3 linked regions of the Ovis aries genome follow. The protein of the gene in region 3 purifies or fractionates together with the protein of the main gene of each other region. This does not show direct contact. Links are inferred from orthologs where the notes say so. Each region holds a gene or a part of one and is shown on either strand. Other genes may lie near its edges. The genes, in order: PPP1CB, PPP1R10 and TOX4.

Evidence for each region.
Region 1: the proteins of TOX4 (region 3) and PPP1CB purify together in Homo sapiens (affinity purification with mass spectrometry; 5 studies listed by BioGRID and IntAct, with this or other methods). This does not show direct contact. The link is inferred for Ovis aries from reciprocal best matches to the Homo sapiens genes TOX4 and PPP1CB.
Region 2: the proteins of TOX4 (region 3) and PPP1R10 purify together in Homo sapiens (affinity purification with mass spectrometry; 3 studies listed by BioGRID and IntAct, counting the BioPlex papers as one, with this or other methods). This does not show direct contact. The link is inferred for Ovis aries from reciprocal best matches to the Homo sapiens genes TOX4 and PPP1R10.

The regions. Positions count from the first base shown.
Region 1 is NC_056056.1:35,718,900-35,721,650, reverse strand, and holds part of PPP1CB (serine/threonine-protein phosphatase PP1-beta catalytic subunit), read right to left. Parts: intron 1,037-2,751; coding exon 932-1,036; 3' UTR 1-931. UniProt on the Homo sapiens protein: Protein phosphatase that associates with over 200 regulatory proteins to form highly specific holoenzymes which dephosphorylate hundreds of biological targets.
Region 2 is NC_056073.1:27,487,832-27,492,250, reverse strand, and holds the start of PPP1R10 (serine/threonine-protein phosphatase 1 regulatory subunit 10), read right to left. Parts: upstream 2,849-4,419; 5' UTR 2,798-2,848; intron 2,573-2,797; 5' UTR 2,041-2,572; intron 1-2,040. Other genes in the region: MRPS18B (small ribosomal subunit protein mS40), read left to right, coding at 3,452-3,529.
Region 3 is NC_056060.1:24,038,031-24,042,293, reverse strand, and holds the start of TOX4 (TOX high mobility group box family member 4), read left to right. Parts: upstream 1-1,325; 5' UTR 1,326-1,354; coding exon 1,355-1,360; intron 1,361-1,558; coding exon 1,559-1,627; intron 1,628-4,263. Other genes in the region: RAB2B (ras-related protein Rab-2B), read right to left, coding at 609-680, 901-946. UniProt on the Homo sapiens protein: Transcription factor that modulates cell fate reprogramming from the somatic state to the pluripotent and neuronal fate. In liver, controls the expression of hormone-regulated gluconeogenic genes such as G6PC1 and PCK1.

The sequences.
Region 1 (2,751 bases), on a different chromosome or scaffold from region 3:
ACAAAAAACAACAAGAACAAAGAAAAACCCAAAAAAACAAAACCAATGCAGGTGAGGGTGTTACCAGAAAGTTAAGCATGCCAAAAAGGTGTTTCGTGCGAATTAAAACCTAAAGCCAAGGTACCACATAATCACATTACCAACTAGTTGGGTATACTAAATGAGCCTTATCTTAAATGAAATGCTACTGCACAATAGAGCATCAATAAGTTAAAATTAGAGTGCACAAACTCAAATCAGTGGCCATTTCTGTATGAAGCAAAATATTCACTATCAGCTGTAACAGTTGCCCAAACTGATTAAATCACTCGATTGGACAGTTTGCATATTTTAAAAAATATCTCTAAATTCCTTTTTACTGTAATGAGGCATAAGTTTTCTTAGTAAGATCAAACAGGTACATAAGTAAATAAGCAATGGAAAATTAATAGTTGATGAATGTCTTCAAAAATCTTCCCACATTGCACTTTTTTAAATGTTTGGGGAAAAAATTTAAAGAATTTGCCATTATTTCAGCAAAAACAAACAAACAGAAACAAAACAAGCCCAAAATAATTAAACAACCAAGCAACACTAAAACCACATTACACAGATGGATCATCATGCTTTCGTCTGGTTTAACTATCACATCTAGTTTAACTGGGATGCTTTTCAGCTTTAAAAACTGTGGTACGTGAAGATGTAACTTTAATGGGTAATTCTGAATTTGGATTTAACTTTGTTGAATATTATAACAGAGTATACTTATTACAATACAGTGTAGCACATCTTTCTATTAGAAAAAAATTTAAGATCCTTTACCCGTCTCCTTAAGTTAAAGGTGTGACATCATAAAGGGTGTCAAATGGCTGGATGGTTTTACAGTGCACACTTAAAGATTATGAAGTATGTCCTTAACAAATCGGATGGTTTCTTTACAGAGTTCCTTTCTTCACCTTTTCTTCGGTGGATTAGCTGTTCGAGGTGGAGTGACAGGACGTCCTGAATTCAGTCCACCATATTGGTACTTAGCTTTCTTTTCAGACGGTTTCAATATCTTAAAGTAAATAATTTAATAACAATGTTACCTTTTTCAAGTACAATAAGTTTAAGGAAATTATTGTTACATAGTAGGCTTCTCAATAAATGACATCAATTGTAAAATTGTAGGAAAAAATAGCAAAGTTCTACAGTCATTTCTCACATTTAAAAAGTATCAAAAAATAAATAAAAAGTACAAATGTCTGAATATCACTATTATTGGTCATTCCATTGACAATTTAGTGACAAAAGCTCAAGTACACAAAACCCATCAACTATTCAATTCTTAGATCTAAGTATAAAAATTTTCAAACTAGTGTATCTCTGTGATGAGAAAAAAGCACTAAGAGTCAAAAGATCCAGGTTCTCATCATAATTCTCCTATTTATTTAGAGGGTAATTAGTCACAAATTCTTCAATCTTCATTTACTATGTGTATACAGATCTTTCACTTAGCTATATATATTATGTATCATAAAGGTCACCATTTAAACTGTAGAAAGACAACACTTTTTAACATATTTACAACTATGAAACCACTGGTATAATCTAACATTAGAACATGTTTGTCACTCCAGGAAGAAACCTTGTTCCCAAAAGCACTCACTCACTCTATTTCCATTATTGACTGCCCTAACCCCCTTCAACTCTAAGCAATCACTACTTTACTTTCCTCTATTGAACTGTCTTTTCTGGCTATTTTAAATAAATGAAACCAGACAATTTGTGCTATTGTGACTGGCTTCTTTCACTGAGATAATGATTTTGATGTAGCATGTATGAGTACTTTATTACTTTTAATTGCCAAACAATATGCCACATTTTGGATACTCCACATTTTGTTTATTCATTCTTTAGCTGATGAACATTTGGGTTGTTTCTACCTTTGGGTATTATAAATAATGTTCCTATTAATATGTATATATACATGTATTTGAGTACTATTTTCAGTTCTTTCAGGTATATACCTAGGAGTGGAAATGCTGGGTCATATAGAAACTTTATATTTAACTTTTTCAGGAACTGACAAACTATTTTCCAAAGTGGCTGCACCATTTTCCATTCCCACTATCAATATATAAGGTTCCAACTTCTCCACATCCCCAGCAACACTTTGGTTATATCAAAAAAAAAAAAAAAACAAAAAAAAACCAAAAACCAAAAAAAACACACCAACAAAAATACAAACTATTTGTTGAAGGATATGGCCTGGTTACTACATTTAAATCTGAACGAGAAATCAAACATTTAGCATTCAATTGTATTAGCTGATAGTAATGGAAACCTCTGTTACATTTTTTAAGAGAAATACAGGGTGTCAAGGACAAAAAAATAAAGTTATTTTAGTCCATGAACAAGAATGATTAAGTAGCATGCTAAAGCTGGTCTCTTTCTTAAATGTAAATGTTTCTATATTCACAAACAGATACTTTAAGATTATTTGGAAGGTTTTTCTAGGCAAATATTCTACATCATTTTCATCAGAGTTCATAAACTCTACTCAACGCCTGTCCCATCCATTCATCTTGCAAAAGAAAACAAAATCTAAATTCACATTCTTTTAGTAGCAAAGCCACTACCTAAGGATTCATACACCAATTTCCAATTTAAACACATGCCACCAAGAATGACTGACATGACTTAGATTTCCAAAAACTCTAATTATGAGATATATACCTGAAAGACTAGAGTATTTGTGAATGGACACAGAAATCTATAGGGAGTCCAAGA
Region 2 (4,419 bases), on a different chromosome or scaffold from region 3:
GAGAACTGGGACAGCACTGAACACAAAGAGCTCACCCCCAGACCCAAGGCGGGAATAAGGGCCATTTAGAAATCAGTCCTGAAGGACCCACTCTCCCCCCGATTTCCATTATACAAATCGACCACACGCAGGAGGCCCAAGGACGGACTCAGTCCTGAGCACAAACGGCACATTTCAGGGTCATCAGGCCCCAGCTGTTTACTCCTGTTAGTTTCACCATCTTTGTGTCTTCCCCCAGGATCCCCCAACACACACTCACACCCCCGCTAAAGCTTCCAGTCCTAAAATACAGCTGTTTGGTTTTCCACCCCAGGCAACTAAAGCAGGGAAAAACTTCCAAGCAGTAGTGATGAGAGAGGGTGAAAATAAAAGCAACAGGCTCGGGATCCTTATATACAAAAACTAGAGCTGCCCAAGGAGACAGCTTCAAGATCTAATTGCGACAAGCTTTTTTTCCTTTTAAGATAATGGTTACAGAAGGTTAAGGAACATAAGGAAAATGGCTTTTCCCGTCTAGCAGCAGCGTGCATGAGGAATCCAGAAGGCATCTGCTCGGGGGCGGGGTTTCGAGAGGGTGGAGAAAGGAGGAAGAAAGCTGATTACATCACCTTTCAGGGCGGCTCCTCCCCCTTGACCAAGTTTCTAGGGCGGCCCTAAGCTCTAGATGGCAAACGGGGAAGGAAAAACAAAGAAGCTGGGACGCCATTTTGTAATGGAGAAGACTCAAACTTAAAGCTATCCAGGCTCCGCCGGTAGCTCTTTACATTTAAAAAAACCACTTTTTTAGTAAAAAACAAAAAAGAAAAAAGCAGTCCATCCTGAATAGTCTGACCTATTTTGAATCAATAAGAGCTTTGTGAGAATACAGGCAATTAAAGTATTTAAAAGAACAATTTTCTGCGGGGAGGAACTGAATTTGCAATTGAGGTTCAACTTGCTACTAACGACCACCCACCGCCCCCCCCCCCCAGCATCTTCCCTATAAAGGGAAACGGGGGGGGGGGAGGACTTGGACCCCTCTCAACAAATAGGGTTGAGGTGGGAGGACAGGAGAAAAATGGGTCAAGACACAACCTGCGACGCCGCTTGGAAGACAAAGGACAAAGAAAGTCGCCATATTGAAGCAGGGAAGAAAAAAAAAATTCCTTTTAACGACACAAATCTTTTAGATAGCATTCAATTGCACTAAATGGCTTGTAAAATTAATACTCCTGAATTCCACATTCCCCCAACCTTTCCACCCTCTAACTGTATTCCCCCGACCAGAAAGTATCAAGTTAAAATGTTACTTTTTCTTTTAAATAACCTATGCAATCTGCAACAATTACAAAACATTCTTTACCTCCCCAGCTATCAATCTAGTATGTATTGGCACTAAGATTATATTTTGCCCTGAATTAAGTGTCTTGCAATCTTTATTCCTAGATTGCCACCTAAATTAACCACACAAATATACCCCAAGCATATTACATTAAAATTGAGAGGAGTTAACAATCATTTTAAAAGATACCCAACTATTACTTCTCTCCGCCCATCTCCTTACCCTGCAATCTTTATGTACAGATTGCTTATTAATCTGGCAAATTGAAAAGCGCCCTGCTTGTCTCACACACAAAGAAGTGGGACTTCTGGGCCACAAGATCCACCATCTTTTGTATGTGAGCTCATTAACCCTTTTGAAGACTGCTAACGAGAGGAAGGTAACCATTCCTCCTTATAAAAAGCAAACACTTATAGCTTTGGCAGTCTGGAAATTGGCTGGATTACCAAGGGTTAACCATCAAAATCCTAACTCGCAGGCCCTCCCTCCACCCTCTCCTTGCCTGCGGCAGAGCAGGGAAGAGGTAGGTGGTTAAGGGAGAGAGAACACTGTTTTAGACCCAACGGCCCTTTTTAATGGAGATTAAGTGACCGGATCGGTCCTTCTCCAGTTCTCTATTTGTTCTATGGTCTCATTTCTTCCTCTCATTATTTTTGGTTTCACAACGGGAAACGTTGATTTCTTGTTGCAAGGCTGGTTTTTGAAAATTCGACACTTACTATCCAATTTTTTTGCGACGTCAGCACCTCGGGCTCAGGGGGGGAGGGGATTAAAATTTTGGAGAAAAAAATAAAACAACCAACCAGGACCCAAAACTCAATTATTTGGGGGGCCTCATTGGATCAAAAAATCTCTTTAGAAAAAATAAAGGCCAACTCAGTATTCATTTCCCCCCCACCCAACTCCATTTAGGGAGGGGGGTCGTAGAAAAAAAGTTCTGAGTGGATTAAAAAAAAGTAAACGCTGGATGAGTGGACTTGGGTGAGTTTGGGAAGGGTGGGTGGTTGATTATTTTTGAAGTTATGTGGTGACGGTCCTTCGGCCACAGATTTCAAGTCCCAGGCAGCGTGGGCTGGTGGGGTGGGCAAGATAGGTGGGAAGGGGCAGAAGACACAAGTGGTTGGGCTGGTGGCTGCTCTTTTCCCTTTCCCCCCTCTCTCTGGATCCTTTCAAGGGCTTAGATGTTGCTGTGCTGCGGCTTGTTTCTTTTCTCCTGGTGGCCGGCCTGTCTTTCTCCGAGAAAATTCAAACCTGGGATAAAAGGAACACAAGGGAGAAAGATGTAATCAGTACGGGCTGCTATTAAAACACCCAAAAGTACCATTTTTGTTGTCCCCAAACACTTCCATGTCCCACCCCGAATACAGCCGCTTAATACGAATCATGGCTCTCAACTGAGCCCGCGTTTGACCCGTTCCCCAGGCCAACTCTCCGAGCAAAATTTTACCCACCAACCGACAAAATGGCAACACTTACCTCTAAACGAACCCCAGAATGGCGGCTGCCCGCTCGGGCGGAGTCTTTTATACGAGGACACCGCCCAACGCGCCCAAACGTGCTAGTGAAACGCCCCCTTCGCGAGACAATTTGCGCGAGGCGTGAATTCATTGGTCAACCAGGGAAACCACTCACCAGCTGATTGGATATCCGGCCTTAACCTTCGCTCAGCCCCTTCCCCCGGGCACCTTCTTCCGCCTCCTTCCTTGGTTGGGGGTGGGGGCCCTAACGCGTGCGCGTGACCAAGCAGCCTAGTACCTCCCTTTCCTCTGCTTCCACCACTTCCGCCCTCGAGAACATTTCTCAACAAGGGTTGGTAGAATCGGCCCGGCGCATGCGCAATGAAAGGATCAGGGTCAAAAGCGACTTCAAAATTGCTTAAAACACAGACTCTAAGAATGAGAGTGAAAAGTCATAGTGACTGGTTCAGCAAAAACGCAATTTTAAGGCCGAATTCGATTGTGACGCAGTTGAAATTGCCCTCTCCCTACGCCCGCCCCTCACGCTTCCGTCCTGACGCAGACGCGCGTCCGCCTTCCGCACTGCGGGGTCGTCCTTGGCCCCACCCTACTCTGGTTCCTGGAACATGCGCAGTCTCGTTTGCGGACGTGCCTGCTTTGCGGGTACGTCAAGATGGCTGCCTCCATATTGAACGTGTTGCTGAGGCGCCTTCCTAACATTTCGCCCTTCAGAGGTGCCTACGGAGTTCAGGTAACTCCTTGGGGCACATTTTGTACAACCTCAGATTTGGTTGTACTTTCTCTAGGTCGTCGCTCCACTGCCAGGGATCCTGGAGCGGAGAGCTTCCCAAGTGCTTGTACATTGGCTGTCAAGGAAACGCTCTGCTTCCCCCATCCTCCCCCTTCCCCTCTCATTCCTCAGCACAGCGCGTTTTCTAATCTTGAGACAAGGGTAAAGAGCCAGGGTTGGATGTCATTCTCTTCCCAGCTTTCCATCTCGGCCGGATATTTAGGCGATGGAATGTGGACCCCTTGGCCAAACACAAACCAACTGTTAACTGTATGGTGGTGTCTAAATCTTTGATGCCCAAGGGTGTCATTGGGTTTTGAGGGACACTAACTACTACCAGCCCGGCTATCGCTCAATAAAGCCAGAATACATTCTCACGACCAGGGGACCAGTTTCTCGGCTCTTTATCTCACTAAATCAGTTTCTTCCTAAAGCATACATGGGAGCATAACTACTTTGGATGGAGGTTTCCCCTCAGTCACACGTACTCACCACCCTGGAGATTCTTGATGGGGCAGCGTGATATTGGAGGGCTTGCCCATCTGCCACTCCCTAAAGTGAGACTGAAGAGTGATGAGAGGGGCTACCACAGAGTTAATTATAGACTTGGTAGCTTGGGACATAGCGTTAGGACTCACGTTTGTTCTGCCATATGGAATGTTGACCATCAACTTTTTATAAGACCGGGCAACTCAGTGATTCAGGATTCAGTTGAGTTGGGAGACTCACCTGTCCTTTACATCCTTTTCGTAGCACACATCTTGACTCCAAGAAGATAGACATTCTCCCTTTTTTCTCCATTACCCTGAGTTCATCTCAGGAAGCACAGAAACCTTATGTGTGCCAGGTTT
Region 3 (4,263 bases):
TGGGGTTATGGAGATTATGGGGAATGGGTTGTTAAAACTCAGCAGGTCGTCCCATATCACAAATTTGTGGAAGATGTTCACATTTCCCACGCTTACCAGAGAGTTCTTGAAACTCATGATTATCATATCTTTTCTTTAAAACAAAACTTACCAGTTTCATGTACCTTTTATTCTAGGTCTGGGATGGCTCTTCCATTTGCTTCCTCCTCTCCAACACACACACAAAATCTATACTGTAGTGATTACTTTGAAAAAGTAATGAGGTTCACACTACTTTACCGCAGAGTAAGGCGAGTTTTTGAATTAACAGTACGTTTTCATAGGATTTTACATAAACATACAAACTACATTTGTTAAAAAAAAAAAAAAAATCCTGAGGCAACTAATCCATACCTCATGGTCATCTCTAAATCTAGTCACCCTTCAATTACCTACTCCCCATTACACTACTGCCCATTTCTCAGCATTTAGTCATTCTTCACTTAACATAACTTTGGACTAACCCCAAAATAGGAAGACGTAACTTTTCTACTTCGAACACTAAAGCTGCTAACTTTCTATTTTAGTCAGATTTCATAATCTATTCTACGAGAGGTATATGCGCTTACCTATTGTGAGGTCGTGGACAGGTTGGAATCGCTTGTCTGTAAACTGCAGGAGGAGACATGACTTCCCCACACCTGAAAGAAGACGCGTGCGTTAGGAGTTAGGCAGCGAGAACAGACCAGTGTCGGGGCGTCCAGGACTGGGGAAGGGGAGCCCCGAGCCCCGCCCCCGGCGGCCCGCCCCGCCCCCCGCTTCACTTAATCGCCCAGCCCACTAAATGAGCCCCGCCCCCAAGCCCCGACTTGGGTGTTTCGGATCCCCGCCCCAGCTTGAGGATTGTCGCCCGCGGGTTACCTGTGTCTCCGATGATGATGTACTTGAAGAGATAAGCATAAGTCATGGTCCCTTTTCCTCTGGATTCCGGGTCCGCCCGACTTCTACAGCCACTTACCTCCGGCCTCTCTAGCCGCTCAATCTATCGACCTCCGGCCCCTCTAGCCCAGTTAACGTCTCTATTGCTCTCCCTCGAAATCCCGTTTCGGTCGGAGCGACGGTAATACCCAGATACCACCTCCGAGGACGCCTCCAACACTCCTACATGCCATTATCCCACCAAGCTCCAGGAGGCGATAGCTAGCCTGTCAGTCCGCTCGGCCTTCCCGGGCCTGACTCGCAGCAGCCCCAAGGCGCTCCTTCCAATCAGCGGAGAGCGACGCACGACGTTGGGGAAGTGACGGCAGTTCCGTGTCCTGTGTGGGGGCGGTGGGAGTGATGAGTTCACTGAGACCGTGATAGCCGTTGTGTGAAGATGGAGGTAGGCTCCTGAGCGTTGAGAAGCCTGGCGAGAGAGCGCGGCTGACGGGGTTGAAGCAGAAGCGGGAAGCGGCAGATGGGAGGGGAGAGAGAGCGGGGTTTGGGAGGTGTTGTCATAATGTCTGGGTCAGAAAACGTCGCTCCGATCTAACTCTCTGCTTCCCCTAACTTATCCCCGCGGCTTTCTTTTGGTTTCCAGTTTCCCGGAGGAAATGACAATTACCTGACGATCACAGGGCCCTCGCACCCCTTCCTGTCAGGGGCCGAGGTGAGCATGAGTTGCCGACGCTGCGCGGAGAGGGTGGGAGGCAGCGGTGGGGTAGGATGATGGGGAGGAGAGCGCGGACGCCAGGGCCCGGGTTGGGAACCGGAGGCTGAGATCGATATCTGGAGAAAAGTGGCAGCTGCCTTCAGAGCCTATGAGGACTACGCGGAAGGCCAGGAAAGCTGCTGTCATCAGAAAAGCAGGACTCTGGAAAAAGCGAACCTATTTTAGAGCGATTCTGTATTGGAGTATAGAATGAAATTGTCTCCTTTCGTGGAGGAGAAACAAGTACAATAATGGGAGATCGCAGGAGGGAGAGAATGTTTCAGCCAAAGAAATTTGGGAAGGGGCAGGAGTTTACCTAACACGTCAACTGTGGAATGTGTTCATTCTTAAACCGTACTCTATTGAAGGGGTATGTGTTTCGTTGAAACTTCCTACCTAGCAATTTTTTGAAAAGTTAATGGTTATGTTTACTTACAGAGTGTTAGCTTGTTGTGCTAGTGAGAGAATGAAAGGGAATATTTGCGAGAAAACATGGAGTTGAGTAGAGCACGCGTTTCTGTTTGCCAGTGCCTCAGAGTTTGGGTAGGTTCCTTCACCCTTATGTGTCAGTTTCCCTAGCTGTCAAAGGATTGTAATAATAGTTTATTACGATGTTGTGAAGTGGAAGTAATGATCATGGTGATGTCCTTTAGTGTTCTTGGAAAAGGTTTAATTGAAATGTTGTCATAAATATGTATGATTTGTTTAGACAAGGCAAAAGAAAAGGGTGGAACAAAAATAAATTCAGTCTTTGAGAAACGGAAATTTTGAACTTTCTGTCTTTTGAGAATTTTTAATTGTTTTCAAACTTGGCATAAACCATTTGATCACTTTTTTTGTATCAAGAATTCTCAATTGCTGTTGAATGAACTTATCCATAGGGTGGCAAAGAGTTGGACACGACTGAAGCGACTTGGCATGCATTCATGAACTTATCCTGTAACAAACCTTAATAGAGTTTCTTGCAAGGAAAAGAAATGTCCACAAAAATAACTTATCATAAAAAAGTTGAAAAAATTCGACTTCTTTGAAATATAAAGTGTTTTGGGTTTGTGTGGTTTTTTTTTGTTTTTTTTTTTTTGGCCATGCTGTGCAGCTCTCTAGGTTGTAGTTCCCCAACCAGGGACTGAGCCCAGGCCCAAACAGTTGAGAGTGCCAAGTCCTGACCACTAGAGCAACAGGGAATTTCCAAAATTTAAGAACTTTTCATCAGTAGACATCATTAAGAAATTAAATAGGCACTTCACAGACTGGGAGAAGATATTTTATTACATATATCTGGCTTAGATTCAGAGTATATTCAGGTACTTCTGCAGAGTGAAATAATCCACTTTTTAAATGGACAAAAGATTTAAACTTGCATATCAGAAGAGAGGGTATCCAAATTGTCACTAGGCATATGAAAAAGTATCATCATTACTTATCAGGGAAATGCCAATTAACAATGAGGTACCATTTTATACCCATCATAATGGTGAAAATTTAAAAAACTGATCATTCCAGGAGTTAATAAGCATGTAGATAACTCTTAATCATTGCTGGTGAGACTGTAAATCGATTCAGCCTCTTTGGAAAACTAGTAGTATCTACGACACATGAAATATAGTTATCCTGTGACCTGGTAATTCCACTCCTTGATGTATACATAAGAGAAATGAATGCATATACTAAACAAAAACATGTATGTCCACAGAAACTTGATTTATATAGCTAAACAGTGGAAACAAATGTCTATAAACTGATAGGTTTGTTAAAGGGAATACTACACAGCAATAAAAAATAATGAACTACTAATGCAACCTGAGTGATCTCAAAAATATACTATTGGATAAAAGAAGCCAAATAAAAAAGAGTAGACACTCTATGGGTTTATTTTTAAATTAAGATGAAGAATAGACAGCACTAAACTATGCTGACAGAAATCAGAATAGTGGTACCCACTGTGGAAGGGAGGGAGTACTGACTAGAGAGGAGCATGAGAAGATTTTTTAGAGTGATGGAAATGTTCTGTATCTTTATCTGGGCAGTAGATAATTGGGTGTTAAGGTATGTAAAAATTCATTGAGCTATATACTTAAAATTTGTGTGCTTTACATTACTTATACCTCAATAAAATAAGAAATAATAATTTTTAAAGATGAAGTGTCCAGAGAGGCAGGCTTAGCATTTATAATAGCATTGTTTGAGCTAGGAGAGCTCTGTAGTCTGAAGGGAGTTTAATCTTTCTGTTTATCTTGTTTAGGTTGGCACTTAAATAATGATATTGTACTTTGAGCACTCTGGGGAAATTAGTCATAAGGATGCATGCTTGCATGTTAAGTCGCTTCAGTCCTGTCCGATTTTTTGTCTCCTCTGTCCATGGGATTCTCCAGGCAAGAATACTAGAATGAGTTGCCATTCCCTTCTCTAGGAGATCTTCCTGATCCAGGGATCAAACTGACCTCTCTTGCATCTCCTACATTGACAGGCAGGTTCTTTACACTAGCGCCATCTGGGAAGCCCCAGTCATAAAGATACCTGTCCTTAATTTTCCTAATTTTCTAAGTAATCATTAGAACCAGTTAATGATTTCAGGCTGAATAGTTAAATTTTCA